Tamandua tetradactyla: one gene and its partners. The main gene of each other region encodes a partner of the protein of the gene in region 4 in a complex. Links are inferred from orthologs where the notes say so. Each region holds a gene or a part of one and is shown on either strand. Other genes may lie near its edges. The genes, in order: PDCD10, PPP2R2A, PPP2R5D and PPP2CA.

Region 1 (7,020 bases), on a different chromosome or scaffold from region 4:
CATTAAACAAAGAGTAAGAGTAGGTTCTAATATTTGAATATTTGAGTCACATTAAGTCTTCTTCTCCTGTTAAGATAAATAATCTAAGCAAACTGAATCTTTACTTCACAGTACTAAAAGTCTGGAGTCAGAAGACCAGAATTATATCTTGGTTCCATGAGTTACTAGTTACATGAACTTTGGCAAGTCACTTTAACAATCTGAGCATATTCACTCCCTTTATGAAACAAGGACTCAATAACTCTACCTACTAGGAATTACAACAATAAAATAATATATAGTCCCTGTTCTTACAGACCTTACATCCTTACAATCCAGTTAGAAAGAGATATAAACGAGATACACCTTAAGTCCTGTAAAAAACGATGTCCTGAAAAGCACAAAACGGTAAGAAATACGGACACTGGTAAACTGTAAATGATTATAAAATATATGACTGTACACATTACACAGTGAACCCTTAATTATCCAGTGTGAAAAAGTACAAAATGACCACAGTACTCCAGCACATGACTGAAGGATGACACATACAAGAGAACTTTTACTCTGCCATCCCAACATACAAGAAACAATACGAAAACTATCTAGACCTTAGTGATAAAGATATGTTATTGCTAGAACTGAATGAAGATCAAGTGCACTACATTTCATTTATTTCCAAAATTTCCTGACTTACCTCAAAAAAGTTTTTTTTACAACCTCATTAGCTGCATGCCAAAAGCTATGAGAACTCACTTCAACCTCTGAACAAAAGCAAATGTCTACAATACCATCTAAAAACATACTTGCTTTATCATCACTGACTCATGTTCAGTTTATGGTCTACTTACACTGCCGCACCCTTCTAATACAGCATTAAACCAGTTATCCCCACATACTCTTACATCTATTTTTTTTTCGTTGGTTCTTCCTTTCCTATGTATTATCATTCATGGTGCTGCATTATTCTGGATATTACTTCATTCTATAGTATCATACCTTTCTTTTATTTTAGAGGTCATTATTAATTTCCAGACCATCTTAACTTCAATCATAGGGGAACAGAGTACCTCTGATCGCAGAAAAAGTTTTTGCATTTAAAAGTTAAACACACTTTTGATCATATTATTAAAGTTGCAGAGGGCATTCAAACTTCAGCATATATCGATGGTCAAATTATAAACAGTAAACCATGATTACTGCTACCTATAGTTAGTTGATTCCTGAATACAAACTTTATGAAGAAATCTTGAAGTCAAAGAACATACTCCTAAAATTCTATTAAAGAAGTATCCAATAATAATAATATTCATGGGCTACAAGTGGACATACTTGGTCTTATTTTTAGAATAAGACTATTCTATTTTTAGAATTCTTATTTTTAGAATAAGACTGGAAAAAACGCACTACCTTGTGCTCAATATGAAATAAAAGTGTTTTTCTTTCATTAATGTAAAATAAAGATTAATTAAAAAGAAAAAAGTCTTAGATGATGTTAAAAAAAATAAAGCAAGATATAATAGGCTGGTTTTATGATTTATACACACACACATCCCACTTCAAAAAATGCCACTTCAAAAAATGAGGTAAACGATAAACAAAAATCCCAAACATAAAATGTGATGTTATCTCCAAGAAATGCAGAGTATCTTTTTTTCTAGTAACGAGCACACTAAACTCTTTTAATACTGCATATCTGAAAAAAATTGTATGTCGTTTTATGAAAGAATTCTAATCCCATCATGCTGAAAATGATGGTAAAGTGAGTCCTGTGATAGGAAGGGGAAGGAAGATTCCTCCAAACATAAGGATGGGATATACTGTTTAACTGTTGTTCTCATACATACCCTTTAAAATAGCCTGTAGTAAAACAGTATATCATTGAATATACCTCTAATAAAAGGAAATACAAATATGTAACTTGAAACAGATTCTTTCTTTCCTTTGAAGAATTTCACCCTAGCTAAAAAAGAAAAAACAAAACAAAAAACTCTTCACTTCTCAAATGGCTTCTTAGAGAAACCATAAAATACATCACTTCGCCACTTCCTCCACCCTCTTCAAAAAACCTAACCAAATGGGCTATTTGGGGGGCGGGAGAGCGGCAATTCTGAATGGACGCCGACTAGATTCAGATTATCTGCCTCTACGTGTGTGACCTCGGGCACGTCATTTAACTCTGCTTCCTCAGCAGCATCCCGACGGGAACGTGAATCAGTAAAAGGGTAAACATACCGTAAGTCCTTTCTGCTTAGGACAAAATTACCTCCTTTGAGGAACATCAAGAAACTGGAACTGAATCCGCAGATTCCTGTCAACATCTGACTCTTCCTTCTACGGTTCTCCTCTTCCCTCAAAGGGCATAACCCGAGTCACCCCGAGGAGCAGCCTCCCAGGCACCCCTTCCTTCCTTCCTCCACTCCTCCCCTTTTCCACTTCTAAAGCAGTCTCACCTCCTCGCCCCGGGCCACACCTTCAGAGGACCCCACCCAGGTACATCCGCCCAGACCCCCTTCTGGGGTTCCAGAGGCCAACCTCGCCCTTGCTCTCCCGCCCCCAGCTAGAGGAGACTTCCTGGAGGCGCTCAGGCCCAACAGGGCAGGCGGCATTTACAAACCCGCTTTACGCCACTCGCGTAGGGTAACCTCGCTTACGCCCATCGGGCCCGGCTCCCAACCTCGTCCGCTCCGCCTCCCAGAATCAAGCCTGAGCGCCTCAGCCCGGGCCCCTGTGTGACCCGAAGCCCCTTCTGCTCCGCTCGGAGCTACGAGGACCCGGAAAGAACAGCCACACCTTACCGGCAACTGGGGCAGCGACTCCACTTCCCACCTTTGGAGCCCTCTTCAACTCCCAGATCAATTCACTCCGGCGACGCCGGAAGGACCCGAGAGGAACCAGGCGTTGTCCGGAATCCTGCCCAGCCGGAGTCGCGCAGGGGCCTGTAGGGACTCGTAGTCCCACCTGCTGGCCTTGCCGGCAATTCCCGCCTCCATCGGACTACAAGTCCCGGCAGCCTGTGCGGAGGAGCCTAAGGCGTTGGGTGGGGACACTCCCAGCCAATAGTCAGCGAGTTTCCTGCCTTTGCGGGAGGAGGTGAGATGAAGAGACAGGGTACTCGGAAGGGGACGGAGGGTGGGGTCAGCTCTCACCTGCACCAATCAGGGCGCAGGGTCGGTCCCGCAAGCGACTCACCCATTGTGGGGGCGGGCGAAGGGTGCAGAGGAAGGGAGGGGCCCGAGGTGGGGGTACGTGTGAGCGGAGCGGAAGCCTCGGGGTAGTTGAGGGAGCAGCCAGTCCCCAAGCACCCCTAGCAGCTGTACCCGGGTCGGGGCGATGATAGGCTGAGCCAGGGCTCTCCACGAAGACGCCCGGGCGGGGCGGGAAGCAGCTCCAGGTGTGAGGCCGCTGGGTGTGGGTAGAGTGGTCCCGCAGGGGACGGAGCAGCTGCAGAAGTGCAGGGAGCGGGAAGGTACTGGGCTGCAGCTTCCCGCCGTCTCCATCCCCGGTAGCAGTAGGAACAGCAAGGGGAGGAGCCACGGCTGCCGAATTCACCAACTAGAGAAGGGGAGGCGGGGCTTGGGTGCCTGTAAAGCCGGAGGCTCAGCCTGGACTGTAGTTTCCCGGGAGAAAGGAGAGCTGGAGCAAGGGCGGAGCACGGTCCTCGGAGCATCCGCTCCAGCATCCTGCCAGGGGTTGCAGGTGTGTGGGAGGTAAGCGTGGGTGCCGCTTCGGGACGTACGCACGCTGCCCCGGAGAAAGCCTCATCCAGTAGGAATTATGTCAAGGAACAGCTCAGAGAGTCTCTACCTTGTATTAGGAAACCAGTACAAACCCTTTTGGGTGAAAGAGGTACATTTTTGGACTCTGAGGCGGGGGGAAAGCAAAAGGTGGTTTGCCTCCGGGCGTAAAGGGCGTGGCTAGGGTTGTTGCTTTGAGTTGTAGCGTTAAAATTGTTCTGGGAGATCCCCAAATTGAAAGAAATCTTGCTAATTGAGGACAGGGTGGATTGTATCTAGATAGATGCGTAGCTGTTAAAAAGCAAAAATTTTGTCGTTGATACAGAATTACTTCAGAACTCCTTCATTAGGAATATAAGTTTGCATTCTTCTTCAGCCTCTGCCTTTTACGTTGATTTATCAGATTGTCCTGTTGCTGACCTGTTTTCCAGGGAGGTTGTACTGCAGGTTCCTAAAATTGAAAGAGATCTGTATTAAGGAAGCAAAGGCAGTGAGGAATAGTCAAGACGACTGACCCTACCAGAAGTATAACTTTTGCCAACAATACTGTAAAAATGCATTTTAATGGATGCTTTCCTTCCAGTGGCTCTGGTATATTGGAACAAAGACCTAGAGTCAGCTAACAGTGGAAACATATGGTGTACTTTATTGCTCTTTATTTTCTCGTTTGTGTCTGGTAATTTTTATACATTTGAAAAACAAGCGTAAAAAAAAATACTGTGAGAGTCTGTTTTCTATCTAGAGGGTATACTAAATGGTTATCTTAGTATGTGTTCTGATGGGTTCAGACATAACACGGAATGTCTTAAAACAGTTTATTCTCTGCATTAAACCATGTGCATTTTCTTTCAATGTAATTAAATATTTATGGATGGAAATATGTTTTAATACTAAACTGTTTTAACACTAAGTGAAGATGAAAGTTGCCTCTACCTTTGTGTAACTATGACACAATTATAATTTGTTCTTTTTAGTAAACTATGTAAAAGGCTACTTGTCTAGTTCATGTTTTTTCCTTTTTGTTACAGAGGTTTGCCAGATTATGATGGCTTTTAATCATAGTAGCATATTGCAGCACATTTTGCTCTGAAATGCCTTCATTGTGATAATTGCATATTTCAGAGTCTGAATGCTTTAATCTGGATTTCTTGAATTAGGGTCGTTAAAATAGAATAATTGCTTTCTATTTTTTTCTGTTTTCATGCTCCTAATTTAATTAGGATTTTGAATTTTATTTTTCTCAAGAACACACAATTCCTTTTAGAACAGAAAGGCTCAAAAAAATTCTCTTGGTAGCTTAAAGTTGAATACTACTGAGTGTTTGATATCCTAAATGACTTAGTACATAAGTCCCCCTCTCCTACACACACCCACCCACACACATTTACACACCAGAGAAATATGTAGAGAAGAAAAGATCTTAGAACAGCACCTGCTCTTAGATAGTACATAAGCAGATCAGGTAAGTGTTAGAAGCAGGAAAGAGCTTTAAAGAAGAAAAAGCAACAGTAACCACTAAACTTAGCAGCCCTGGTTAGGATCATATCTTATGTTTGCTAACCACAGGAGAGTCTATTAATTCACATAGGTGATATGACCCTGTGAAAATTATTTTAGAGGAGAAAAAGTGGGTATTCGAATGTAGTGAGGCATGGAAAAAATTGTTTGCCCTTGTTATTTGTGGTCAAATAGGTTGTCCTTAATTAGGGTCTTAATTTCTTTCTTAGGCTCGGCTCTTGATCATTTTATGAAATTGAATGTTGCTGTCACTGGGTTATTTCCCCCATATAATAATAATAATAGCAGTGAGGTTATTTCAAAGCCCTTATTAAAAGATCTTTTGAAAGGGTTTCGTTGGGAATCACTTAATAACCAAGCAAATGAAGAAGAAATTAAATACCAAAAAATTTGAGATTGATATGTTCTTTGAATCCCAACTATATATAGATCGTCGGCTCTGAGCTATCATAAGCTCTAGAGTCTCATCAGGAATGAATGAGTTTGCAGTATTAAAGTAGTGAATTTTTTGCCTGTATCCAAGATTTGGATCCTTTTCATTGTGTCAATGAAAGAGATTGGGTTCCTGTATGTCACTTGAGAGTAAGACCACGTTCTGATAAGGAAGAAAATGATTGGCAATATATACTACTTGGGCATTTCTTTGTTACCTTGAACTCTTGACATGTTTTAAATTGACGTTCATATTAAATTTCAGATTATCAGAAGACTTTTCTTGATCGTATGTTACTGATACTGAGAGCTGCACTATATGGCAGACAGTTTATGAATTTTGTATAAAGCCCTACCTAGATTAAAAGCATACTGTTTAATCTGCTCTTGATTTTTACTAGTTGTGTATGAATACCGATGAGGTTGTCATGATATGAAGAGAAAGAGAAAGAAAAATCAATAAAGTACAGAATGTCTCTCCTGAATGGAAGGTGCTCTGGGGGTATCATTCTTTACCAAAAGACTTGATTAATTTCAAATGCAGTATGTTCTGGGCTTTTTAAATTTTTAAATTCTGACTCTAAAAGTCTATTGAGTAAGAATAATTGAGAAACATGGGTTTCTCTTTCTAACAGGAGGATTCACTGATGTATGCAGCACAAAAAGCAAGACTTAAAGGTTTGAGATCAAATGATTTTGGTGCATGAGGTGGGATAGGGGTTATATGTATGAAGAAAGCTGCTTGAAGAACATACTCTTAAGAAAAGCTAAAAGAGATTTAAGCTTTTTTGTTAAATACTTATGATTCCATGACTTTTTTTTCCCCCCTAATTTTTTCTAGAGACATTGCTTGCCTACATTGACATTTTAACTGGAGCCAGACTGAAATTAATTACTAAGATTTTGAATAAGCCTGGGTTATTAGAGCAAAACAGAGAAGATCACGTGCATATACCCTAAATTTTAGGTAAAACATTATTATTTGCATATGATTTAAGGCAAAAAAACCAAAAACCTAGTATAATGTTTTCCCCCTAATAATAGAGTTCCTTGAAATGAGACAATAAAGATGAGCAAGAGCCACTTTTTTTAGGAGTATATTTTATGTTTTTTAAGGAAACTTCTAAGGTTAAACACTGCTTGGGAATCAAAATGAATTGTTATACAAAGGTAAGGGTTTTTTGTTTTCTTTTTTGTCCTTTAATCTCATCCCTAAAGTTTTCTAATATTATTCTCTAATGTAAGAATTTAGTCCTAAAAGTTTGAAAAGCATGTTTTAAATTAATAGATTATTAGACCGTATTCCTCTTTTCTTGAGACCATATTCTTTTTTATCTCCTGTGCTTACGTCATA
Region 2 (7,124 bases), on a different chromosome or scaffold from region 4:
TTTAGCTAGACAGTAAACCATACTGGCAAATAAACTTAAAGCAGTACAGGCCATGTTGGTGAAAGGTCACACTGTGGTCTTACTACATGTTTGAACTTAATTCAAAATTCAGTGGATAACTGAAGATTTCTGAGAAGACCAAATTGGGACAGTACTTAACCCCAGAAGGAAAACATAGGACAAGAATCAGCAAATCATGGAAGAAATTACTGTAATCCAGATGAGATACTGAGAACCTGAGCTAGAATGAAAGTAGGTACAGAAAGAGAATGAAAGCACTGATGGTGTAAAAAAACATAGACTTGGCAGTGGACAGTACATGGATAGAGAGAGACAACTTGGAGCCTTTACCAGGAAAGAAACGGATATAAATCATTAACAGAATATGCAAAAGCTATGCTTAAGGATGAGCTAGACATCAGCTCTTTAAAAATTATAATCTAAACCAATGGGGAAATACGTAGTAATAATCCTACTTATTTCGAAACAGCAAGTATTCCTTTAGTAAAATAAACAACAGACTATGGAATACAAATCATAGTATGCAAAATTACTGCAAATAAAGCAGCATAATTTGAAAACTGGATGCTCTCTATCTTTAATCCACTTGTACAGACATACGTACTAGGACAAATCACTGTTTTGATTAAAACAGACATAACAAGCCTCAGCTTTTTTAGGATGCCAAGAGCGCACTGAATATTAAAATAATACTTAACAAACTCAAAAGAAATTCATTATTTAAAGAATCAGTAGCAAAATACAGCAAGTATAAGAGAACTACGACTGACCCACCATATATATCACAAACCATCATTTGATTCAATTTGGTAAATTTAGAACATCAGTTCCTTCTGATTGAAAATAAAATCCATGTGGTCTTTCTGCCTAATGTTTAAGTAAATTATAACCCCCAAAGGGGAGGGTTTTTGTTCAAGATGCCTTATACTCCCAGGGCTCAGCACTTAGGAGGCCCCCACTAGAACCTGATAATGGAATTGAATGAAGGAATGTCTTTAAGTATACAGCACTTTCTTAACTTGGTGGCTATTACACAATAGCACAGAACTAACGATCCAATATTTGAGCGCCTACTATTCAACAGGTAATGGAGTTACAAAATGAGTAACACATGACTCCTCCCATGAACTTAGGATTTATTTTTCTGAACAAGTCAAACACCACAGACTTAGCCAGAAACACAGTACATATTTGTGGGCCTACTGGTGAGCTTCTCAACTTCTGTAAGCTGCTGGTTTCTCATTTGAAAAACAGGTGAGGATACAACAGGAAAGAAATATGAGGGTGTTCTGTCAAGTCTTACTGGTATAACATATGCCAGTTGACATCCCACAGGTTTCACAAAACTCTGATCAGAAACTTCATTAAAAATTATAGTAACACAAGCAAATACAAAGCTGGCTCAACATAAAGTCATCTACCTACCACCAAACCCAACATGCTAGATTGTGGGTCAGAAATATGATCTTAATTGAGGACAATACAACCAAGACAATGAAGAGGTATAAATTTTCACTAGACAAATTTTTTTAAAGTTAAGTACGTTTCTATTTAACCGAATTTTGTTGGAAAATTCCTACTGTAAGATACTATTTCCAAATACTATTAAGATTCAAACTTTATATAATGGTTCTTGATGATAAAGTAATGCAACTACTTAATGGGAAATAATGTTTCCACTGCCGCTGCCTAAGGCCATCTCCTGATTGAGAGCAAAAACATTAAAATTTTTGAAATACATTAATATACAATTCTGGGGGGTGGGAAAGGGATATGAGACTTAAGTTCTTCAACTGATCAAGCCCAATTTCTAACTGCACAAAAACATAAGTTCCCCAAAAGACCAGATATATATTCATAATGCTATTTTCTTATCCACCTAAATTAATCTCTACAAGACAATAAAATGCATACTGTGAGCCAGAATTTCTTCATAGACTATCCCAACCAACACCACACTGCCAAGTTCAAAAAAACCTAAAAATCTTTCCACAAAAATAAAAGCTGCTGTCAATAATGTTCTGAGCTAACCGGTGAAAGCACCTATTTCAACTTAATTATCTAAAAACAAGGTACAAACATTAAAACCATTTATTTGTATGTAGAATGTATATAGCAAGGAAACCTTTATCCTAGGAACCTTAGATTTTTCTTGTGATGGTTTTACATACATCATCATCTACTGCTCCTTTCATTTATTTATTTATTTTTTGCTCCTTTCATTTAATTCAGGAAAATAATAACAAAACAAGGCATAAAAAAACAAAAAAGGTGTTAAAGAGTCAAGACTATTTTCTCGAAAGGTAACTTTTAAAATTGTTCTCCCATTTCTCAGACAATAAACACGAAATGTTCTTAAACTATTACAGACTCAGCTTCAAGGAAATCCTTCAGTAAACAAGATTTGAAAAAATTCTATACTCAAGTTTTGCATTACTAAACACTTTCTTACCTTCTGCTACATCATCTTCTACTGCTCCTTTCACCTGAGAAAAACACCACTGAATATCATTCCCTCCTCCAGCTCCTGGAAAACAACAACAACAAAAACATACCAATTAAAACAGAATTCTGTTCATGTTTACTCTCATAAACACAGAGATGGTATCCATGATTGGCATGATTCTAATAGCCTAGTACTGCCCACACACATAACCACCACTCCACAGTACTAATTTGGAAAAAGATCAGTCCCCAATAGTTGGTTATAACATTGCTTTCAAAAAAAGGAGGAGGAAAAAAGAGCTTTCGGGTAAGAAATATTTAAAGGCATGTACAAACATTAACATTGTACATGTGTTCCAAACTTCCTTCCATTTTTCCCTTCCCCTAAAATGCAGTAAAAGCTTTACATTTAAGCATGACCTACCAGAAAAAAGTAAATACCAAAAGCTTAATAGTTTTTCTTTAAGAGTACCAAAAGCCTGCAGGAAAGTAAATAAGTTTAAACTACCATGAAACATAGAACGAAGAGAAAACTTCAGGAACATTACCGCCTGGGTGAGAAGTAAATGATTCATATGAACCCTATCACCAAAGCGCACACACAGCAAACACAACACTCACCACCCATTTCTCTGCATTTCATTACCAGCAAATCACTGGCTCCAGACAGAGAGAGGAAAAGAAACCGAAATGAATGCTGTTTTACTTGTCAAAGGAAGTTTGTTTTTCCTCCCCCCTTTAGTTTATCCTTCAAAATCTAAAGGATCTTATGAAGGATTTTATTTTTCTATTTTGTCATCATCTTGTGCAAAACAATTTTAATTTCATTTTACTATTCAACGAAGCCAAAGGGCAACTTGTCTATGGCAAATGCAAGCTGATCCAATATTTTTAAAACTTTTTGAAAGGTTTAACTATCTCACATTGAAAAAAAAGTGTGGAAAAACTGGTTGAGTTCCTGAATAGTTCTATTTCACTTCCAAGCACCGAGAAGAAAATCATGAAAATGTCTTGCATGCATAGAGTAAGAAAATCTAGATCTAGAACTGATTCTATTAGATGAAGTTATTTGGCAGCACAAAAATTTTAAAAAGTACAAAAATAATCCTCCAAGCAATTACCTCTCTCTTCCTTCACTCCCATTCCTCACTAAATATTCCAACCTGGTTTTCCCCATACATTCTTTTTTTCCCCAAGCTTTAACCCAAATATCTTTCCCTTTTGCTATTTATATCACTGAACTCCATCACTATTTTAACTAACTCTATGAAACCCTTTTGGGGAAAGGACATCTGCACAAAAGCTAACAAGCAAAACGGAAAGTTTAAATTACATTTTTCATGCAACCTGCCATATTAAAGGCCTTAAAGGGTTAAGATTCAAAAGGGAGATGGTTCAAGGTAAAAAATTGAGCATTGGTCTCAAAAATTTACGTACCCACAGGAGAAAAACGCACGTATGTTCCCATTGTATTTTGACTTCTAAACCACTCTACCTCTCCTGTGCAAAATATAATTGTATATACACCCAACCAAGAAGGTTTGCAGGGGGAGAAATAGAATTAAATGAAGGAAGAGCCATACAAAAAAAGCCCTGGGGGATGGGGGTGGTGGTGGTGGTGGAGGATACACCGGACACCAAAGCAGTACGGACAAATCTGCACTCGCCCCCACCCCGCCCCACCCCACCCACGCCTTACCCCATTGCTGGCCGAGCGCACCCACCCCCCATGCAAGGGTTCCAGCCCTTATTTTAAAAGCCAGTGTGGTAGCACAGCCACGACTCGCCTCACCAGAACCCTCCCCACCCCCACCCCACCCCAACTTGACCAATTCCCAGAAAACCGAAGAGCACTCCGTGGCTCTATGAAACCCAGGCAGTCGCTAGGGGGTGATGGAGGGAGGAAGGAGGAGGAAGCGGTTGCTTGTCAGTGGGCGAGGGTGATTTCTCCTTTACCTGCCATGTTGCGCTGCAAATGGTGACCCTGCTGGGTTCCTCGGGGTCTCTGCTTCCTGAACTCACCCCCCTCACCTGGGGATGGGGGGGTAGAGAGGGCGGATGGCAGCGGATAGCACCTGTGGGGGAAGGGGCGGGGGTTGGGGGAGAAGGAAGAAGGGGCGGGCAGACCAGCCAGCAGGATGGTGGATTTCACTCTGAAGCTTCCCGGCTCTTGCTCTTTCTCCAGCGGCGGCGGCGGCGGCGGAAGCAGCGGCAGGGGCAGGCGACTCCACTTTCAAAATGGCGCCGGCTGGCCTGGCAAGTGACGTCACTCGGCGGGTGGAGCCCGGGGCTCAGCCCAAGGGGCGGAGCGGGGCGGGGTGAGCACTGGAGAGGAGCGGGGGAGGGGCAGGGGAGCGGCCGGGCTGGCTCCCGGCCACGCCCTCTTGGTCTCCCGGCTCTCTCCCCTGTCCCGCCCCTCAAGCGCCTGGGTCCTTCCCCGCCCGCAGCGTCCCCGCCTGCCCGGCGCCCTGGCACACGCGCTGCTGGTATGGTGGTTCCCTTGCGGCGCTCCCTCCGCCGGCTCTTACCAGTCTCCCGCTCCGGCTGGTTTTGCGTAGACTACTCAAACCGCAGCCCATTGCACACCACCGTTTCCGAAGCCCACGCGACTTTCAGGAATGGATCAGTGAAAGGAGCCTGGGTGCGGGGACTCTGGGGCCGGCTCAGCTGTCCGCTTCACGTGCTCACTCGCAGGGTTTGGAGGGGTTCTTGAGTGTATTATATCTTTTTTGAAAATACTCGTGTTGCTACTTAAGAGAGTAAGACTGTGGCTTAATCCTGAAGTCAGTGAAATAAAGGGACGATGACATAAAGCAGACGCGCTGCACAACCAAGGTGAAAATTCGCGAGTCTGAGAAAGAGGCAACTGGACCGGCTCCATCTGGGTGAATTAAATTACCTTCGCATGGGCCCCAGGAACTAAGGCACGAGTCCTTTTCGGAAGCTGAAAGCTAGAAGAGTAGTTTCTGAGTTTGCTAGTAGCAGAATATGGCCAGAAAAGTGACCCAGGTCTGTACAGCAAAAGTAATAGAATCAATAGTTAAGATAACTGGGCCCTGTAGAGTGGCTGCCTGGGTACAAATACTGACTAGGTGGTATCGGGATAACAATTCTATCATATAATAATGTTTTGGAGACTAAATGGTTTAACTGAGTAAACGGTAAACAATAATGATAGCTGCCATTATTATTAGATTTGTCTTGAAAGCGTCTTCAATATTGTTAAGAGGTAGAAAGGGGAAAAGAACACGCTGGAAAAGTAGCAGGTCATCAGCCAAGAAGGGATGTGCAGTTTGGTCAAAGACACCCTAATGATGCAGTAACCAGCCAGGTACTTTACATATCTCACTTGATCTCTGCAATAATCCTGTAAGAGACAGATCCGCATTTTACATATGAAAAACACCTACAAAAACATTAAAACTCTGACCTTAAGGCTGAATGGAGTGATAAGGCATTCCTAGACAAAGAAAGAGAGGAAGATTAATATATTTACACCTCCTCCCCAGCTTTTCCACCTCCTACCTTATTCTTGGTTTCCTAAAAGGTTCAATTGTAAAACAAGTTTCCAAAAGTCCTTCAGATGGAACATATTATGCCCCCTCCAATTCTACATTATTTCTCACTTTATCAACAAACAAACCCAAAATTGAAATCCACTCTATATCTGTTTACTTCTATAGCGATTGATTTCATAATGTATTTCTCTGGATATGCCAGTACCCTTAGTTTTCCTTTTTGTTTTCTCTGCCTTTGTTTGGTAGTTCAAGCCCAGACTCCTCTAGATCGCCATCTTAACCAGAACTCTCAGGGAGAGAAAGTGTAAGGGAATTGACCACTAAACAGGACTGAGATTCTTGTAATAAAGTCACTTTTCTTCTTTATGCTCCAGTTTTTGCCATGGGTAAGACCCTGAAAATGATTTGGTCAATGTAAATAATTTCTTAGAAACCAATAAATCTTGCCTGGGAAGAGGGCTAATTATAACAAAAATTCATATAGTAACTAACTATATGCTGGCCACTGTTCTAAGAATATTACATAGAATTTCAAGGTTACTATATGAATATGGGATGAATTGAGATGGATCTAATTATCAAGGGTCAGTACACTCTGGCACTCTGATATAAGTGACCTGGCACTTTTTGACACTGAGTAATCCCTATGGAGGACCACAAGCTGCTTCCTTTTCTTCTTAGGAAAAGAGGCCAGAATACCCACTAGCCCAAGGTTAAGGTTTGCTCTTGGCAGTTTCCCCTTACTTATCTACATTCTCTCTTCCATCCTTTGCACTCGGGCTTACATCCCCATCACTTCACTGTCAAGGTCATGATCTCCACGTTACCAAAGCCAATAGTTTTCTGTTTTTTTACCTTTTTCTGTTTTATCTTTTTCTACTTTCCAACAGCATTTGAAATGGTGGATCACTCCTTTCTTACTTGTGACTGTTTTTTTTTCTCTTGATATATTATTGGTTTCCCCCCAGTCTTTCTAGCCACCCCGCTCAGTTTCCTTTGCTGGCCCCTCTTCCCAGCCCATCCTCTAAATATTAGGGTGATTTGTCACCCTGGCCTCTGTCTGGGGTTCCCTTCTCTAAGCACACACTCTCTGGGGGCAATTTTATTTACACCAACTTCATGTACACCAGTAACTGCTAA
Region 3 (7,346 bases), on a different chromosome or scaffold from region 4:
CTTCTCCAACAGGGCTGACCCATCTGCACACACGTTTGATTTCTCTTTTTCTCTACTTGATCATAAGCTCCTTATTCTTTATTGTCCCCCTCCACCAACCTTAGGCACTTACCACAATGCCTCAGACGTATCCCTCAGGGAAGGTACCTAAGAGATATTCTTGCTGCCCTTGAAGCAGGGTGAGTGTGGGAGTGAGTGTGTGTGCATGTGGGGAAACTAGGCCTGTCACCCTTGTTTCCTGGGTCTTGGAAACAGGTATGTATGTACTTCAGCCTGGCCATGCACAAGTGCTGGGGAGCCCCATGGTTTTAAAAAAATGGGTTTGGGAGTCAGCCTTATGTTCTGGGTCCAACTTTTCCTAGCTGTATAATCATGGGCAAGTTAACTAGCCTCCCTGAGCCTCAGTTTCCTCATCCATTAAACGGTGACATACACAGTTCCTACCTCCCTTACAGAGTGCCTGGCATGTAAGAACTCTAAAGGTTGGTCACTATTATTGTTATTATGAACAAGAAGAAAATGGGAGGGAACAGGGATACTCTACCCAGGAACCTAAATAAGAGAAATCCCAGGTCAGAAAAAGAGGGAAGGGGAGGGATGAAAATCTCCCCAAGACTGACTCAGCACCTATCCACATACAGCCTACTGTGTGCAAGGGAGATGCTAAAACCAAAATGGTGTTTATCTCAAGGGGGAAGAAAAAATTTGTCCACAATAAATTCCAGTCCATAAGCTGCCTATCAAGTGTTCTGCAAATCGAGGGGATGAGGGAGAGTTCACTCCCAACTGAAGACTGACAAGACTTTAGGGAGGAGACTGTAAGGATGGCCAGGATTGAGACTAGGAGAGATGAAGGAGAGAGGAGAAGTGATGTGTGAGCAATGAAGATCCTCTACTCACTGGCCACTCTTTCTGCCCAGCCTCATCCAGGCAAACCTCAGTCTCATTTTTACCTCCCTCCTCCCTCAGGACTTACCAACTATTGAAGGAGGCCAAATGCAGCCAAAAATCAAGCTGAAAGTTAAACCTGAAAGGGAATCAGCGTTATGCCTGGCTGCATGCACCTGATCCCAACACCCTTTCTCAATCAAATACTTATACCGTGGCCCTCACAAGTCTAATTAAGACTTTTTCTTCTTTTCAATTATCCAGTAGGCAACAGCTCTCTGTGGAAAGGACAGTATCTGCTCCATCAGAGTAAAAGCTATCAATGGCGGGGACCTCAACTGAGTTCTGCTCCCTTCCACATTCCTTGAAGGAGCCCCTAGTGTGGCTGACCTTTATGTGCATCATCTACAGCTAAGCTGCCCCAATCACCTTGCATGCCCACTCCCCAAGGACAGGGGCACACAATCCTGCCCAGCTAGCACCCCAGGAGGTTTAGTAGCTATTATACTATCACCAAACCCATATTCCAAACCTCAGGCCAAGAGGTTATGGGGACAACCCAGAATCACAGCTGCCTGGCAAATCTCCAATAGCCCCAGGATAGAGTTTGATTGATAAGGTCCTAGAGATGGCAGCCTAGCAACTTAGCCAATCCAATCAGAAAGCAAATGAAAGCAATACACCTCTGGGGTCATAAAGCGGGCAGCCAGAACACCAGGCCAGAGCCAGCCCCACCATGAGGGGCCGGTCCCAGGGGAGGAGAAGCTGGGGGTGGCTGGAACTGGTATTCTAGCATCCTCTGTGTGAGTCTGTACCTCAAAGGAACCACACCTCTGAGTCAGACCAACAGCAACAGCAGGAAACAGAGGGTAGAAAAAAGCAGGGATGAGGAAGAGGGAAAGGTGATATGGCTCAAGAAGAGGAAGGTGGAAGAAGGCAACATCAAGAAATGGCTTGTGTCAAGACACCATGACAAAGGCATGGGTGTCCACGGGTGGCTGACCCATGGGGGTAAGAAGGAAAACTAATCTGACTTTGAGACCGATTCCTGATTTGAGAACAGTGTGACCCAGGAAAGACAGAAATCCAGCACTGCTGCAAAAATTAAAAATGCAAAGGTTATCCTAGGATTAGGAATAAGGGGAGGCGCCTGCTCAGATTAGAAAGGATGACTAGTCTAGGATGAATCTGGGAGCCAGTTGATAACTGCTGGGGTTGGGAGTGGGGGGCTTTAGGTCAGGAGACCCGATACTGCAGCTCTGCTTCCGGCAGTCTGTGTGACCTTGGACAAGTCCCATCCCAGGACCTCAGTCCCCTCATCTGTCCCACTAGAGGCTGGACTGCCGGTGCTGAGAAGTCGTTTCCAGTGCTGACGTTCTGAGGCTCCATCCACAGAAGGAAGGGCTCACAAGTTTGTGTGTGAAGAACTAGAGGGAGGGGCCTAGTCCAGATTCGGGTGGAAGAGAGAGAAACCTGCCTCCTGGGTCAGGGGGCTTGGCGCAGAGAGAGAAGGAGGCCATCTAGGCGGTGAAAAGAGAAGGGAAGGGGCTCTGCAAGGGGGAGGGGGTAGATCTGGAGCGAGGTGCTTTCTCAGATGAGTGGGGCTGTCCCTAACGGGTGTGGGGCGGAGGGGGAAGGTTGGGAGGAAGGGGCGGGGGCGAAAAAGCAAGGGAGTGACCTGGGAGTGGGGCAGATCTGGAGGGAGGAGGTTACCCGGGGCCGGGGATAGGAGGCAGGAGGAAGAGTGGGAGGTGTATTTGAGAGGAATGGGTTCCGGCCAAGGTAGGGGAGCTGTCCCAGCTGCGGCACAGGCTGGTGGTGCTGCGAGCCGCGGGGCGACAGGCTGGACCGGGGAGTCCTGCGGGGGCCAGACGGGAGGGTCAGTCTGGGCTGTCCCGGGCCTGGCTCGGGCCCCTCCCAGAGCTCCGCGCAGGCCCCAAGGCGGAGGCGCGGGGGAAAGGACCACGCTCACCTTCTCCTTCTTCAGTTTATAGGGCATCTCGGCCCGTCCGGACCCAGCCCGGCTCCTGCGGCCCCGCTCCGGCCCCGGCTTTGCTCGGCCGCACTCGGCCCGCTCCGCCGTCTCTTTGCCACCGCCTGCGCGCTGCGCCCCGGTCGAGAGGTGTCTGCGCCTCCAATTGGCCCGAACTCTTACAAACCTGCCTGACAACCCGGCGCCGCCTCCTCGGATTGGCCATTGGAGCCAAGCTGCTTCCTTTTTTTCCCATTGGAAAGAAAGAGTACAAACCGCCAGGGTTCAGCTCCCAGAATTGGTTGAAGTGGGAGGTCCCGCCTTAAAGTGGGTCGAGCTTAGCGAAGGAGGCGGGGGTAAGGGGAAACCCAGGCTTGGCTCCGAGTGCAGTACTCCAGCGTACGGTGTGCGTCGGCCTTGGCCATTCTTCGCAGCCTTTGGAGCTTTGCTTATTCCTTCCAGAAGTGGTTCTCACACTTTCCCCACTCTGCTAACCTGCCCAGTCTGAATTGAAAGAAAGAAGCCCTAAAATGAAGGGCAGTTTCCTTCATCGGAGCAAAGCAGCGCTTAATTGCATGAGCAAAATTAGTAGAGAGTGGTCCCAAGAGACCTCTGAGGGTGTCTGCCTCCCTGGACGGGAACTGCAGAAGAACCTGACCTGGCTGCCATCTAGGGTTCTCATCCCGACTTCATTCCAATTTTGGGAAGTGGGTCGCCAATTCCTACTGCAAATGTTTTGAGATTGGGGAATCAGCTAGACTTGAGCAGTTGACAAGACAGAAAAGCAACTCCATTGCCAGTGTCTCAAGAAATCCATCCCTTCCCTCCATCCTGCCCAAGCCAGTGACTTTATGGATAAGACTCATTAGACTCATTTCCTGACCTCAAGGAGTGCACAGTTCGGCGGCATTCACAGATTTGTAAAAACAGATGATTAAGATACAATGTGATAGGGTGGTGCAATCCTGGCTGGATTCCTGTCTGCCATGCTGGAGGCCCGGTTGGATTCCTGGTGCCTGCACATGCAAAAAAAAAAAAAAGATACAATGTGATCGACCAACTACACAAGCCTAGGAGAGGCTTGAAGACATATGTTTCAGAAAGGCCACTTCAGCAGCAGATTGGTTATATGAAGAAATTGGAGAAGGTTCATCAAGAATAAGCCTGTGTTTCGTTTTATTTCTTATTCTGAATAGATGCAGATGTTCCAAGAAGTGATCATGATGATGAGTATGCAACTATGTGATGATATTGTGAATTATGGATTATATATATAGAATGGAATGATCAAAATAGGAATGTTTGTGTTTGTTTGGTGTTTTTGATATTTAAAAAAATAAAATAAAATAAAAGAATAAGCCGTGGTCCTTGCTCAGGAGAGCAATGCTATAGTACAGTGGCCATGGGGGTGGAGGAGTTGGAATTGGGCAATATGTAGGATCCAACAATGATGCACTGGATTATGGGGGGTGGTAAAGGAAAGGAGGGAGTTGAGGATGACTTCAGACATCCCAGAGACGTAGGAGGAAAGCTGGTGTCATGACAGCAAAGGGAATAAAATATTTTCAGGAAAGAGGACTGGTTAATAGTGTTAGATTCTAGAAAGGTTGAATAAGATAAAGATCAAACAGCAGACCATGGATTCTACAATTGGGAAGTTATGGGTGATCTTCACCAGGGGAGTTTCAGAGGAGTAGAAGCAAGATTATGGTGAATTGAAGAGTGAGCAAGAAGTAGGAAAGTAAAGATGGCAAATACAGGCTACTTACAGAACTTGATTGACTTTTCTATGACTAATGATGATTTAAAAGTGAGCAAAATGATGGCATGCCATTATTTACTGGGGGATAAGCCTAGGAGGAAAGGACATTTATTTGTGGAGGGGTATTTGTGTCGATATGGGTAATGGGACTCCAGGCAGGATGCCAGATATATTTACCCATCTGCAAGACTCCAAGAAGCATCACAGCCCTGAGGCCTAGAGTTTGCCTGCTTCTGTGTAAAGCAGGTATCTTCCTTGCCTGCCTACCTCCCCTCCACTCTCCCAGTCCTTGGTACCACTGGTATGCAGGGGACAGAGCCACATATAGCTTAATGCTACCAAAGGGGAACTTTCATCCATGAAATCCAGGTACTTAAATTCATGAACACTTTTGTATAGATGTGGCGGTAAACAACTTTTTAAGTTTTTTTTTTCTTCCCTTTCTGGGGACAGATATTTCTCATAACATGCACATCTAATATTCAACTTTCAGATATTTGACTTTCAAACTTTTTTTTTCAGGAGTGCATAATCTACAAAGTAGAAGACTGCTTCACAATGTTTAGCTGTTAAGGAAAAGAGATAGCTGGGCAGCAGCTAGAAAAGACTGCTAAGTTCAGAAAGTAAATTCCCACCATTCAATCCACTGACGTTCAGTGCAAATATAGTAATAATTGCAAATGTGTGGCTTACCAGTGTCTGACTGTCTTGTACAGAGCAGTGGGGGTGGACACAAGGATGGAATTTAAGTTACAGCACAAGTGGGAAGCAGGCTTGGTGCTCCGTGCTTATGACAGAAGCTTCGACCCCCTCCCATAATTAGGCCTGCTCTGCTGCTCTCTCTGCCTCCTCTAAGGTAGAAACGGAATGGGCTCCAGTCTGTGAAGGTTGGTGGGGGAGAGCAACTGGTTGGGGGGAGATGAAAGAGCAATGCAGCTTTGTCTTCGCTTCCATTCTTGTGGGAGTAGAACGAACAAGACAATGAACAGGACAAGAAACGTTGGAACGTGGGTTTTGTGTAGGATGTCTGTTGGAACAGGTGTGGCAGCACCAAGCACTCCAGAACTACATGAATCACATGTAGTATTTCAGCCAGCAACCACTACATATCCATAAGCAGGTCTAAGACAGAGTTTTATAACCCTACCACTTCCTTCTGCAATCGTCCCAATTCCCAAACCTCAGTGCCTGCGGTTCCACTGCGGGCGCTCACAGGAGGATGGACTCCCCAAACACTCCACCCACAGATCCCAGTACCAAGCCAAGTTCAGACACGCTGGTTGTTCATTGGTCAATTAATAAACTGTAAAGCGGAGAGCACGTTACTCTTCTAAAAGGTACGGAACGTAAACTCCTGTAAACATAGGCTCAAAGGGCGCATGCGTAAAGGCTGCGCAACCGCCGCGTTAATGGTTACTGCCATCAAGTCACCATCCTGATCAATTAATTCAAGGCGCCGCGCATCCCTCTCAGAGCATGCTCGCCGCACGCGACCCACTCCCGCTTTCTTCTCGCCTCCCTTGACGGAAATGGAAGTGGAAGCGGAAGCGGCGCACACGTCGTTGCGTCGCCCCGCTTGCTGGCTCCGGAAGCCGCGATCTTTCGCCTTCCTGTTTGGACTCCTGTCAGTATGGCGCTGGCGGTGCTGCGAGTTCTGGAGCCCTTCCCTACCGAAACGCCCCCGTTGGCGGTGCTGCTGCCACCCGGGGGCCCCTGGCCTACGGCGGGGCTAGGCTTGGTGCTGGCCCTGCGACCTGCAGGGGAGAGCCCGGCAGGGCCCGCGCTGCTAGTGGCGGCCCTGGAGAGGCCGGGCGCGGGAACTGAAGAGCAGGGCTCAGGCTCAGGGCCCCCGGAGCTGCTGGTTAGCCGCGCGCTGCTGCAGCTCCTGGCACTGGGCTCCGGGGCGTGGGTGCGAGCGCGGTCGGTGCGGCGGCCTCCGGCACTGGGCTGGGCGCTGCTTGGCACCTCGCCGGGGCCCGGGCTCGTGCCACGGGTTGGGCAGTTACTGGTGAGGCGCGGAGAGGTCCTCCCTGCGCCCGGACCACGGGTGCTGGAGACGCGGCCGGCATTGCAAGGGCTACTGGGCCCGGGGACGCGACTGGCTGTGACGGAGCTGCGCGGGCGGGCCAGACCGGGCCCGGAGACTGAAGACGTCTGCCGGCCCCCACCCCCGCCGGTGGTGTCCTCCTTCGCAGCTCTTGGCACAGTCCGGCGACTTCGGGGAGTTCTGGGAGGGACCGGAGACTCACTGGGGGTGAGCAGGAGCTGTCTCCGGGGTCTTGGCCTCTTCCAGGGCGAGTGGGTATGGGTCGCCCGGGCAGAAGAGACATCGAACGCTTCGCAGCCGCACTTGGCCAAGATGCAGGTCCTGGAGCCTCGCTGGGACCTGTCTGAGAGGCTGGGACCCGGGTCTGGACAGCTGGGAGAGCCCCTGGCTGAGGGAATGGCTCTCGTCCCTGCCACTCTGGCTTTTAATCTTGGCTGTGACCCCCTGGAAATAGGAGAGCTCAGAATTCAGGTAGGATACTGTACCAAGATCAGGAAAGCGTCCTCTTCCTTATCCCCTCTTAACTAAACTAGAAGACCAGAGCTGTAGAATTTAGGCCCCTTACTCCTTAGGATCCTGAACCCTTCATTTATGTCTCTTAGCTTTATCCGTTCTTCATAGTCAAATCTAACACGAGCCTCCATAGTGTGATGGTGCATGGGAAGGATTTTCATCTA
Region 4 (7,270 bases):
CGATTCCCGGAGCCTGCCAATGCAAAAAAAAATTTTCAGTAAAAGAGATTTTTTGTTTTAGTAGAAATGCTGTATAAAACCATTTCAAGCTATGCATCCTAACTCATCCCACATACCTAAAAAGCTGCCTTCAAATTAATTACCTTGTAAAGTTGATATAGTTTCAAAAGTTGAAATATTTACAAGCTAAAAACAGCACAAAGGCTAGGTGATGAGAGCCCCCACCTCCACCCCCACAAAGAGTCATTCCATGGAAACATTTATGTAACACTTCAAATATTATTTTCATCCTTTTCGCTTTCAAAACTAAAATGTGGACAAGCTAACTGATCAAAGGAGACTTGAAAACAAGCTTACTTCACTGGTACCTTAGTTTTATAAAGATATGGAAAACAACATTTAGCAAATCCATCAAGCTTCCCTCACCCTACCTCAGCCATCCAGTTTTATCTTCCATGTCTCCAACACAAACCCTCAATTTCCATGGTACATCTCCTTACTGATTCCCACACCACAGTTGTCTCTCCAACTAGATTCAAAGCTCCCTGAGAATAGGAATGATTATTTTTCACTGTTTTGATTCCCCTCAAAAGAGTAAGCAATTGTGGATACCCAAGAGATGTTCAATACTTAAATACAAAGTACTATATAAAACAGAATTGTAAAGTCGCAGGAAATTAAAAGGGATTTTAGAATGCCTGTTCTAAGTATTTCATAGACAGGTAAATGAAGACCAACTGAAGCGGTTGTCCCAAGGTCAGTCTCAACTACTCACTCAGTAACAGAAACCGGACTTTTGGGTCCAAGTCTAACTTGCAGTTGGGTGGTCTTCAGATTATATCATCATTACCTCTCTTCCAATGTTTTCTACAGGAATAACTAGTCATCTAGTCCAATATTGACTTGCAAAGAGTTAGTACCAAACCCCTAAAGTCAGTAAAATCATTATATTACTCAGAAATTAAGACAGGGCAATATACATTAAATAATTTTTGAAAGCCTATTTCAAACCTTTTAAACAAATACCAACCTTATGTGACATAAAAGAAATGAGTCAAAAAGCAACAAAATATTCAGTACACTGCTAACCATTAAAATAAAGCTCCAACAGATGATGTGCCACCTCTAACTAGCAGTGCTTTGTTCAGGCTTGGAATAAACTAAATTTGATTCGCTTAAATTCCAATTATTCACAACATGGGTTCTGAGAAAGTCTGTCGTGGGAGCATATACATTAAACTCATGATCCTAATTTTCACATCAAACCACTAATGAGTCAGCATAACAGCTCTCTAATAACTTTTCACTAATACAAAATGCTAATATGACATTCCACAATTCTGTACTAAAATGAAATGCTGCAAAGTTAATTCTGAAAAGGGAAGTTTAAACTATTCAAAGTGGTGATCCTTTTCTAAACTTAAGAAAACGGAGTTACAAGACTTTTAAAAATACACACAGCTAACACGCGTACAATTAGGCAAACCGTTTCCCCAATCCCTAAGGACAAATAAAACAACTAGATAATATAAACTACAAAGTTTAGCGTTATTAAGTGGACTACACCCAACCCATTTTCAACGTCTTTGAAATTATCTAAATTCCAAGATGTGTTGAGAACACAGTTAAGATTCAATCCGCAGCTATTATTATTACTACTACTAGCACTAAAAAAATAAAATCGAATTAACTTTTTCAACAAAGAGCCACAATTCAAAACCTGCCGCTCTTCCAGTTTATTGCTCATTTTAAAAATGGCAAAATGCCAAGTATGTTAAACTTAGAGAAGGGTTTCACACAACCCAATTTGAGTCAGCATATAAATCACAGATTAAACCGAACCTGATTTCCAATCCAAAAGCTCCTTATGCAGTGTGACTCACCAAAGTCTTCCTTTCTTCCAACTGTAAAGAAGTATTTTATACTCCTCCCCATAATTATCACTTTGACCTTGGTATAAATTAGGTTACAGATTTAAAATTTCTTAAAAATGCACTTTAAATAAGTGTCTGGAGAACACCATTTGGTGAATGTAATCCAAACAACCTGGGATGGTACTAAAGCCCTGTGATCTTTAAGGTCCTAGATCTGGCCGACAAGCTTGCCTTTGGGGATTCTGTGGACAGCACAGCACCTGAGAATTAAGCTTAAGTACAAGTAAAATACTCCTTAACCACCTCACAGTAGAGGCCCAGGCCCCATTCCCAGGCCGCCATACCCAAGTCCCTCTACCCGGACCTTAAAATCGTCCAAGACCTCGACACACAGGGTCTCCGCTCCCCCAGCTACTGTGGTCCGGCTCCAAGGCCAAGAGGCTCAGAACCCCTAGTTTCTGGCGAACGGCGCCATTTTAAGCGGCGGCGGCGACCAATCCTTGGGCGGGAGACAGGGGGCGCCGGGTCCTCCGGAGCCGCCGCCGGGCCGCGCCGGGAGCCGGTCTGGGAGGAGCTGGGGGCCCGGGACGGCTGCCTCCGCCATGTTGCCCCCTCCCGGCGGCCGCCTCCTCCGTGGGCTCACCCCGCGGCGGTTCCCGAAGCTGAAGCCCAGCTTACCTTCTCGCAGAGGCTCTTGACCTGGGACTCCGACAGCTGCTTGCACTCGTTCAGCTGCTCGATCCACTGGTCCAGTTCCTTGGTGAACACCTTCTCGTCCATGATGCCACCCGCCCGAACCGGCTGCCCCTCCGCGCTACTCCCGCGCCACAGCCCGCACACGGGCCAACCGCACACACTGCCGCCGGTTCCCGGGATATTACTGGGGCTGTGTGCGGTTGCTCGACCCTAAAGCTGGTCTGCCGGCTCTTTCCGCACTGTCGGTCACTGGCCGCTACGCCTCCTCCCCTTCTCGCTCTAGCGCCGGGGCTCGGTTCTCTGTAATGGCGGCTGCCCGGCGTGGTGACGTCACGCCCGGCGTCAGACGCGGCGAGGTACGAAGGGGAAAAGGGCTGGGACCCGAGCTGCGCAACTGCAAATCGGACGCTGGCTGACCGCAAAAGCCCAGTGTGACGGTAACTAGGAACCAAGGCGCAGGCGCAAAGTCGCCGGCTGATAAGTGAGGCACCTTCGCTTTTAGGGCGTGGCCTCTCAGAGAGGGTGGGAGTGGGATGGAGTTCGGGGAGGCGGGGAAGAACCGAGTCTGAGCGAGCGCAGTGTTTGCAGAGGCGAGCAGGGCATTTTCCCGAGGTCTACGCCCCGCGAGGCGCCGGCGCCGAGTTCGGCGCAGGCGCAGTCCGTGTGGGAGGGGGGACTCCAGAGCTGCCTGAGTTTTCTCTTGCCGAGATCGGCTTGGTAATACGCCTCAGCGGTTTCCTTGGGAACTGGCGGGCAGATCACGGAAAGGAAATTGCGACCACTCCGCTGGCCCCTCCATGCTGCAACAGCGCGGGAATTGCGTGGAATTCCCGTATCTGTGGGGCCAGGGACCGGGCTGAGATGCAACCTGGTTGGAGTGAACCAGACTCTGGGCGCGGCCGGCAGCTGGTAATTGGGTCACTCGTAGGCGGAAGAAGGTGTACCTGCTGGGGGAGTGCCGCCCAGTGCACCCGAGTGCCCTAGCACACACCTGTCCCCGGGCCTGGGTGTCTCGTCAGGCGTGGTGGCGGGGCCAAGGCTTGGGCTTCTGCCCGGGACTTGGACACACCCCGCGTGGCCTTTCGCCCCAATTGTCCGCCTTCCTCCGATCCCAGTTTTCCCGCTCGCCCTTGCTGTTTCCCAGAGTGGGAGGCCGCGGGGATGGACGCGTCGGTTCCGACCGCTTCCGGATGGTGACAGACGCGGCGATGATCCTCGCTTTTCAGAAAGCCCGGATACCCTAAGACGGGACCCCAGTCTGATTGTGAATCTCTGTGAGGTTTGCGAAACGTGTTCACATTCCGATGTCCCAGAATTTACAGAAATATTTGGCCTTGGAGAGTGCCCACTATGTGCCAGATAACCAACCCTGCGGAGAGAGGGGTCATTCAAACAGTCAAGGGACGCTGCCCGGATGGAGCGTGCATTTTCCCAGCAGTACCGGCTTAAAATGGCTTGAGGAGAGACAGAAGAGGGCTTATGATGCCCCCAGAATCTGAGAGGTAGAAGCTTTGCAAAGGACACGTAGCCAGAAAGGGCAGCCGTCTCCTATCTTCTAGGCCCCCTGCCCCCAACACAGCCAGGCCCCACGCGAGCACGGCGCCTTGTACCGGGGGAGAGCGCTCTCAGCTCAAAGGGCATCCCGACCGACAGCCTGGGAAGAAGGCCTTGGAGTCCCGGATTAGCCAAAGGTGGGACTGAAAATCCTTCATCCAAGACAGTGTTTGGCAAGGCTAACTGGCTTGGCCATCCCAGGCTGGGAATTGCAATTCTGCTTTCCTGTCATGCCTCCCACTACTGCACCCAAAAGAGTCCCTTGAATCTCTGCAGAAAGCTTATCACATACTTACCAGACTGGGGAAAAGCCTTTTTAGACCAAATTCTGACCCTATTTTGCAGTTAACATCCTCCAAAAATAGTCACTTAAGACCAGGTGGAATGAATAAGGAAAAAAATCACCCGTGCCCATGATTAAAAGCCATGCCCAGCGTGCTGTCTCATCAGATCCCTCATCACTGCTCTCTTTCTCTGTGAGAACTGATCCTGTCTGATCGGCAAGAAGCAGGCAGCCACTCAGAAAAGGAACTTGCCCCAGGTAGTGATCGAGATGTGAAACTTCATACTCCCAAGTGCAGGGTGTTGTCCACATTCGCTCAGCTGATCTTCCAAGGGCTGAAATATGGAACAGGGTCCATCCAGTTTCCCTTTGTCTGCAGTTCTCTTACCTAGAAAGGTGAGGGTGGTGTTAGTTTGGTAGATTAGACAAATGTTAAGCACCTACCTTGTGCTAAGATTATGAGTGGATTTTTCTAAAGTACTTTGAAATCCTTGTTGATAGCATAAATGTAGGTGTTCTTTTCTCTTGATGCAGATCTCTTGGCTCACCAACACCATAAAGTGGAGGGAAGATGTAATTATATGTACTTAAGACATCCTGCCAAATAATTAGATGCCATGACTTAACTTCTTAAGGAATGAATTTTAGGAAGCTCTCATTAGTATTCATGTAGTGAAGTAAAGCATACATGATTATAAACAGTACAAAACTAAATTATTCAGAATATTTTTTCCTTTAGAAGAAATCTGGAATATTCTTAACTCTGTGGGACTCAAAGTAACTGATGGATCTGAAAATTCAGTTTGACTAGTTTGAACTTGACTGATTTGACTTCACTGACTCAGTTCTAGAAATGAGGACTATTTGAAACAAAAATTTTAAAGCAAACCAAAAAGAATTGTCCTTTTAATTTCTTGGCAAAAAAGCAGAGAACAAATAAAGCAAATATGGTTTGAGGAACAATCTTTGCTCAGATAACAAATTCAGTATACAGAGAGTCTGAATGTTGCCTCTGATGTTTAAACATGGCTATAAATAAAAACCATCTGATGACGGGGGCAGGGTAGGGGGAGGATAACCTTGAGCAAATGACTGTGTAACAGGCAGGCTTAGCTAAGATATAAAAATTGACATTAAACATAGAGAAAGAATTCTCTTGGCCTTAACTTAGGCCTATTTTGTTGTTGTTGGTCCAGCTCCCTGACCTCTGTACTTACTGAGACACAAAGTAGAGCAGTATAGGTAAGCAATGGCTCTGGAGTCCAGTGAACCTAGGATTGAATTCTGGTTCTGCAACTTCTTAGCAGGGCGACCTTTGGCAAGTCACTTAACTTTTCTGTGTCTCAGTTTTCTCATCTATAAAATCAAAATAGTTGTAATTGCCAAATAAAAGTGCTGTTCTGAGAATTAAATGAAACTGTAAGGGTTAGGGGGTGTATCATAAATACCCTAGATATTATTATTATTTCCAAGTGGTCTGTAATTCTAAATACCTTTTAATGTCAGCTGGAGCCTCTCATTGCCTGCCTTCTACATAATGAAATACTTAGTGGTCTTTGGAAACAGAATGAAAGGATATCAAAAACACGCCAAGTAGAGACAAAGTAGGGATGGGGGAGGAGATTGAAGGAAGGAGAGGTGGAGATGAAACAAAAAGGAACACCATCAAGCAGACATTGAGAAGGCTTGTTGTATATAGGAAGTCATTTGAGAGTAAATCCAAGAATTAATACAGTTGGTCAGTCTCCGAATCTTATATCAGAAAAGTGTGTTATATCTTAAAAGGATAAAATGCCCTTTGCACCAAACCCTTCCAAGCTCCAGAAGCTCCAAATAAAGATCTGAACAATCCACATCTTAGTGGCCCTGATCGTAAGAAACCAGGCAAGCTCTGGCCATGTGTGCCTGCCCAACTGTCAGAAGATTCCTGCATTCAACGTTCACAACAATGCTGTAATGCATTACTATCTATTCCTATTTCTCTCCTTTGTGGTTTTCAAGAAAAAGTAAGTTGATGTTGCCCTTTCAACTGGATTTAGAATTTAATAAATGTGGTCAAAATTTTGTGTGAGGAAATTTGACAAAGATATAATACAGCCCTTTCCCCTAGCTACTGAAGTTTGGCTTGAAGAAAGAGAGAGAGAGAAATATGACCATATCCCCTGGTGATGCCTATGACATCCAAATACCAGTCAGAATTACACGGAAATATTTTTATCTGTTCCAGAAAAAAAAAAACTCAGAAATGAAAGGTGAAGTTCACTACTTCAGTAGGCTGGGTAAACCATAAAAATACTGTCACCAGTTCTGCAGCTTATGAAAAATCCTATCATATATTCTCACAAGCAGTGGGGACAATCAAAGCAATAGGCTGAGCCCCCAGTCTTGGGATTTGTTCATATGAAACTTAACCCCACAAAGGATAGGTCACACCTACTTAAAATTAACCCTAAGAGTCACCCCCCCCCCCCCCCCCCGAGAGAACCTCTTTTGTTGCTCAGATGTGGCCTCTCTCTGCAGCTAACACAACAAGCAAACTCACTGCCCTCCCCCGTCTATGTGAGACTTGACTCCCAGGGGTGTGGACCTTCCTGGCAACATGGGACAGAAATCCTAGAATGAGCTGGAACTCGGCATCAGGGGATTGAGAAAACCTTCTCGACCAAAAGGGGGAAAAGTGAAATGAGACAAAATAAAGTGTCAATGGCTGAGAGGTTCCAAACAGAGTGGAGAGGTTATCCTGGAGGTTATTCTTACGCATTCAATAGATACCACCTCATTAGTCAAAATGTAATGGAGAGGCTTGAGGGAACTGCCTGAAAATGTAGAGCTGTGTTCTAGTAGCCATGTTTCTTGAAGATGA

Evidence for each region.
Region 1: PPP2CA (region 4) and PDCD10 share a complex: the UniProt entries of both Homo sapiens proteins name them as parts of the core of STRIPAK complex. The link is inferred for Tamandua tetradactyla from reciprocal best matches to the Homo sapiens genes PPP2CA and PDCD10.
Region 2: the proteins of PPP2CA (region 4) and PPP2R2A are in contact, whole or in part, in a cryo-EM structure (PDB 9C6B), measured with the Homo sapiens proteins. The link is inferred for Tamandua tetradactyla from reciprocal best matches to the Homo sapiens genes PPP2CA and PPP2R2A. Residues at the interface, in NP_002706.1 of Homo sapiens: Arg89, Tyr91, Val126, Tyr127, Gly128, Asp131, Arg135, Cys266, Tyr267, Arg268, Arg295, Pro298, His299, Val300, Thr301, Arg302, Arg303, Thr304, Pro305, Tyr307, Phe308; in NP_002708.1 of Homo sapiens: Tyr86, Leu87, Lys88, Ser89, Ala173, Asn174, Ala175, Glu190, Asn201, Leu202, Trp203, His204, Ile207, Thr208, Asp209, Arg210, Ser211, Phe212, Asn213, Ile214, Val215, Asp216, Met256, Ala260, Leu261, Asp263.
Region 3: the proteins of PPP2CA (region 4) and PPP2R5D are in contact, whole or in part, in a cryo-EM structure (PDB 8U1X), measured with the Homo sapiens proteins. The link is inferred for Tamandua tetradactyla from reciprocal best matches to the Homo sapiens genes PPP2CA and PPP2R5D. Residues at the interface, in NP_002706.1 of Homo sapiens: Arg89, Tyr91, Arg121, Gln122, Ile123, Gln125, Val126, Tyr127, Gly128, Tyr130, Asp131, Leu134, Arg135, Ala140, Trp143, His191, Trp200, Arg214, Ala216, Leu243, Met245, Tyr265, Tyr267, Arg268, Cys269, Arg302, Arg303, Asp306, Tyr307, Leu309; in NP_006236.1 of Homo sapiens: Ile80, Lys82, Asn188, Pro189, Ala192, Glu193, Phe194, Asp195, Glu198, Asp199, Glu200, Ile288, Tyr289, Glu290, Glu292, Lys332, Val333, Lys334, Lys367, Phe368, Trp369, Pro370, Lys371, Thr372, His373, Ser374, Pro375, Lys376, Ser413, Pro414.

Annotation. Positions count from the first base shown.
Region 1 is NC_135331.1:64,792,543-64,799,562, forward strand, and holds the start of PDCD10 (programmed cell death protein 10), read right to left. Parts: upstream 3,015-7,020; 5' UTR 2,778-3,014; intron 1-2,777. UniProt on the Homo sapiens protein: Promotes cell proliferation. Modulates apoptotic pathways. Increases mitogen-activated protein kinase activity and STK26 activity. Important for cell migration, and for normal structure and assembly of the Golgi complex.
Region 2 is NC_135329.1:27,163,411-27,170,534, reverse strand, and holds the start of PPP2R2A (serine/threonine-protein phosphatase 2A 55 kDa regulatory subunit B alpha isoform), read right to left. Parts: upstream 3,016-7,124; 5' UTR 3,012-3,015; coding exon 2,975-3,011; intron 2,549-2,974; coding exon 2,474-2,548; intron 1-2,473. UniProt on the Homo sapiens protein: Substrate-recognition subunit of protein phosphatase 2A (PP2A) that plays a key role in cell cycle by controlling mitosis entry and exit. Involved in chromosome clustering during late mitosis by mediating dephosphorylation of MKI67.
Region 3 is NC_135331.1:100,572,202-100,579,547, reverse strand, and holds the start of PPP2R5D (serine/threonine-protein phosphatase 2A 56 kDa regulatory subunit delta isoform), read right to left. Parts: upstream 3,004-7,346; 5' UTR 2,888-3,003; coding exon 2,861-2,887; intron 1-2,860. Other genes in the region: PEX6 (peroxisome biogenesis factor 6), read left to right, coding at 6,253-7,140. UniProt on the Homo sapiens protein: The B regulatory subunit might modulate substrate selectivity and catalytic activity, and might also direct the localization of the catalytic enzyme to a particular subcellular compartment.
Region 4 is NC_135346.1:13,268,852-13,276,121, forward strand, and holds the start of PPP2CA (serine/threonine-protein phosphatase 2A catalytic subunit alpha isoform), read right to left. Parts: upstream 3,017-7,270; 5' UTR 2,655-3,016; coding exon 2,553-2,654; intron 1-2,552. UniProt on the Homo sapiens protein: Catalytic subunit of protein phosphatase 2A (PP2A), a serine/threonine phosphatase involved in the regulation of a wide variety of enzymes, signal transduction pathways, and cellular events.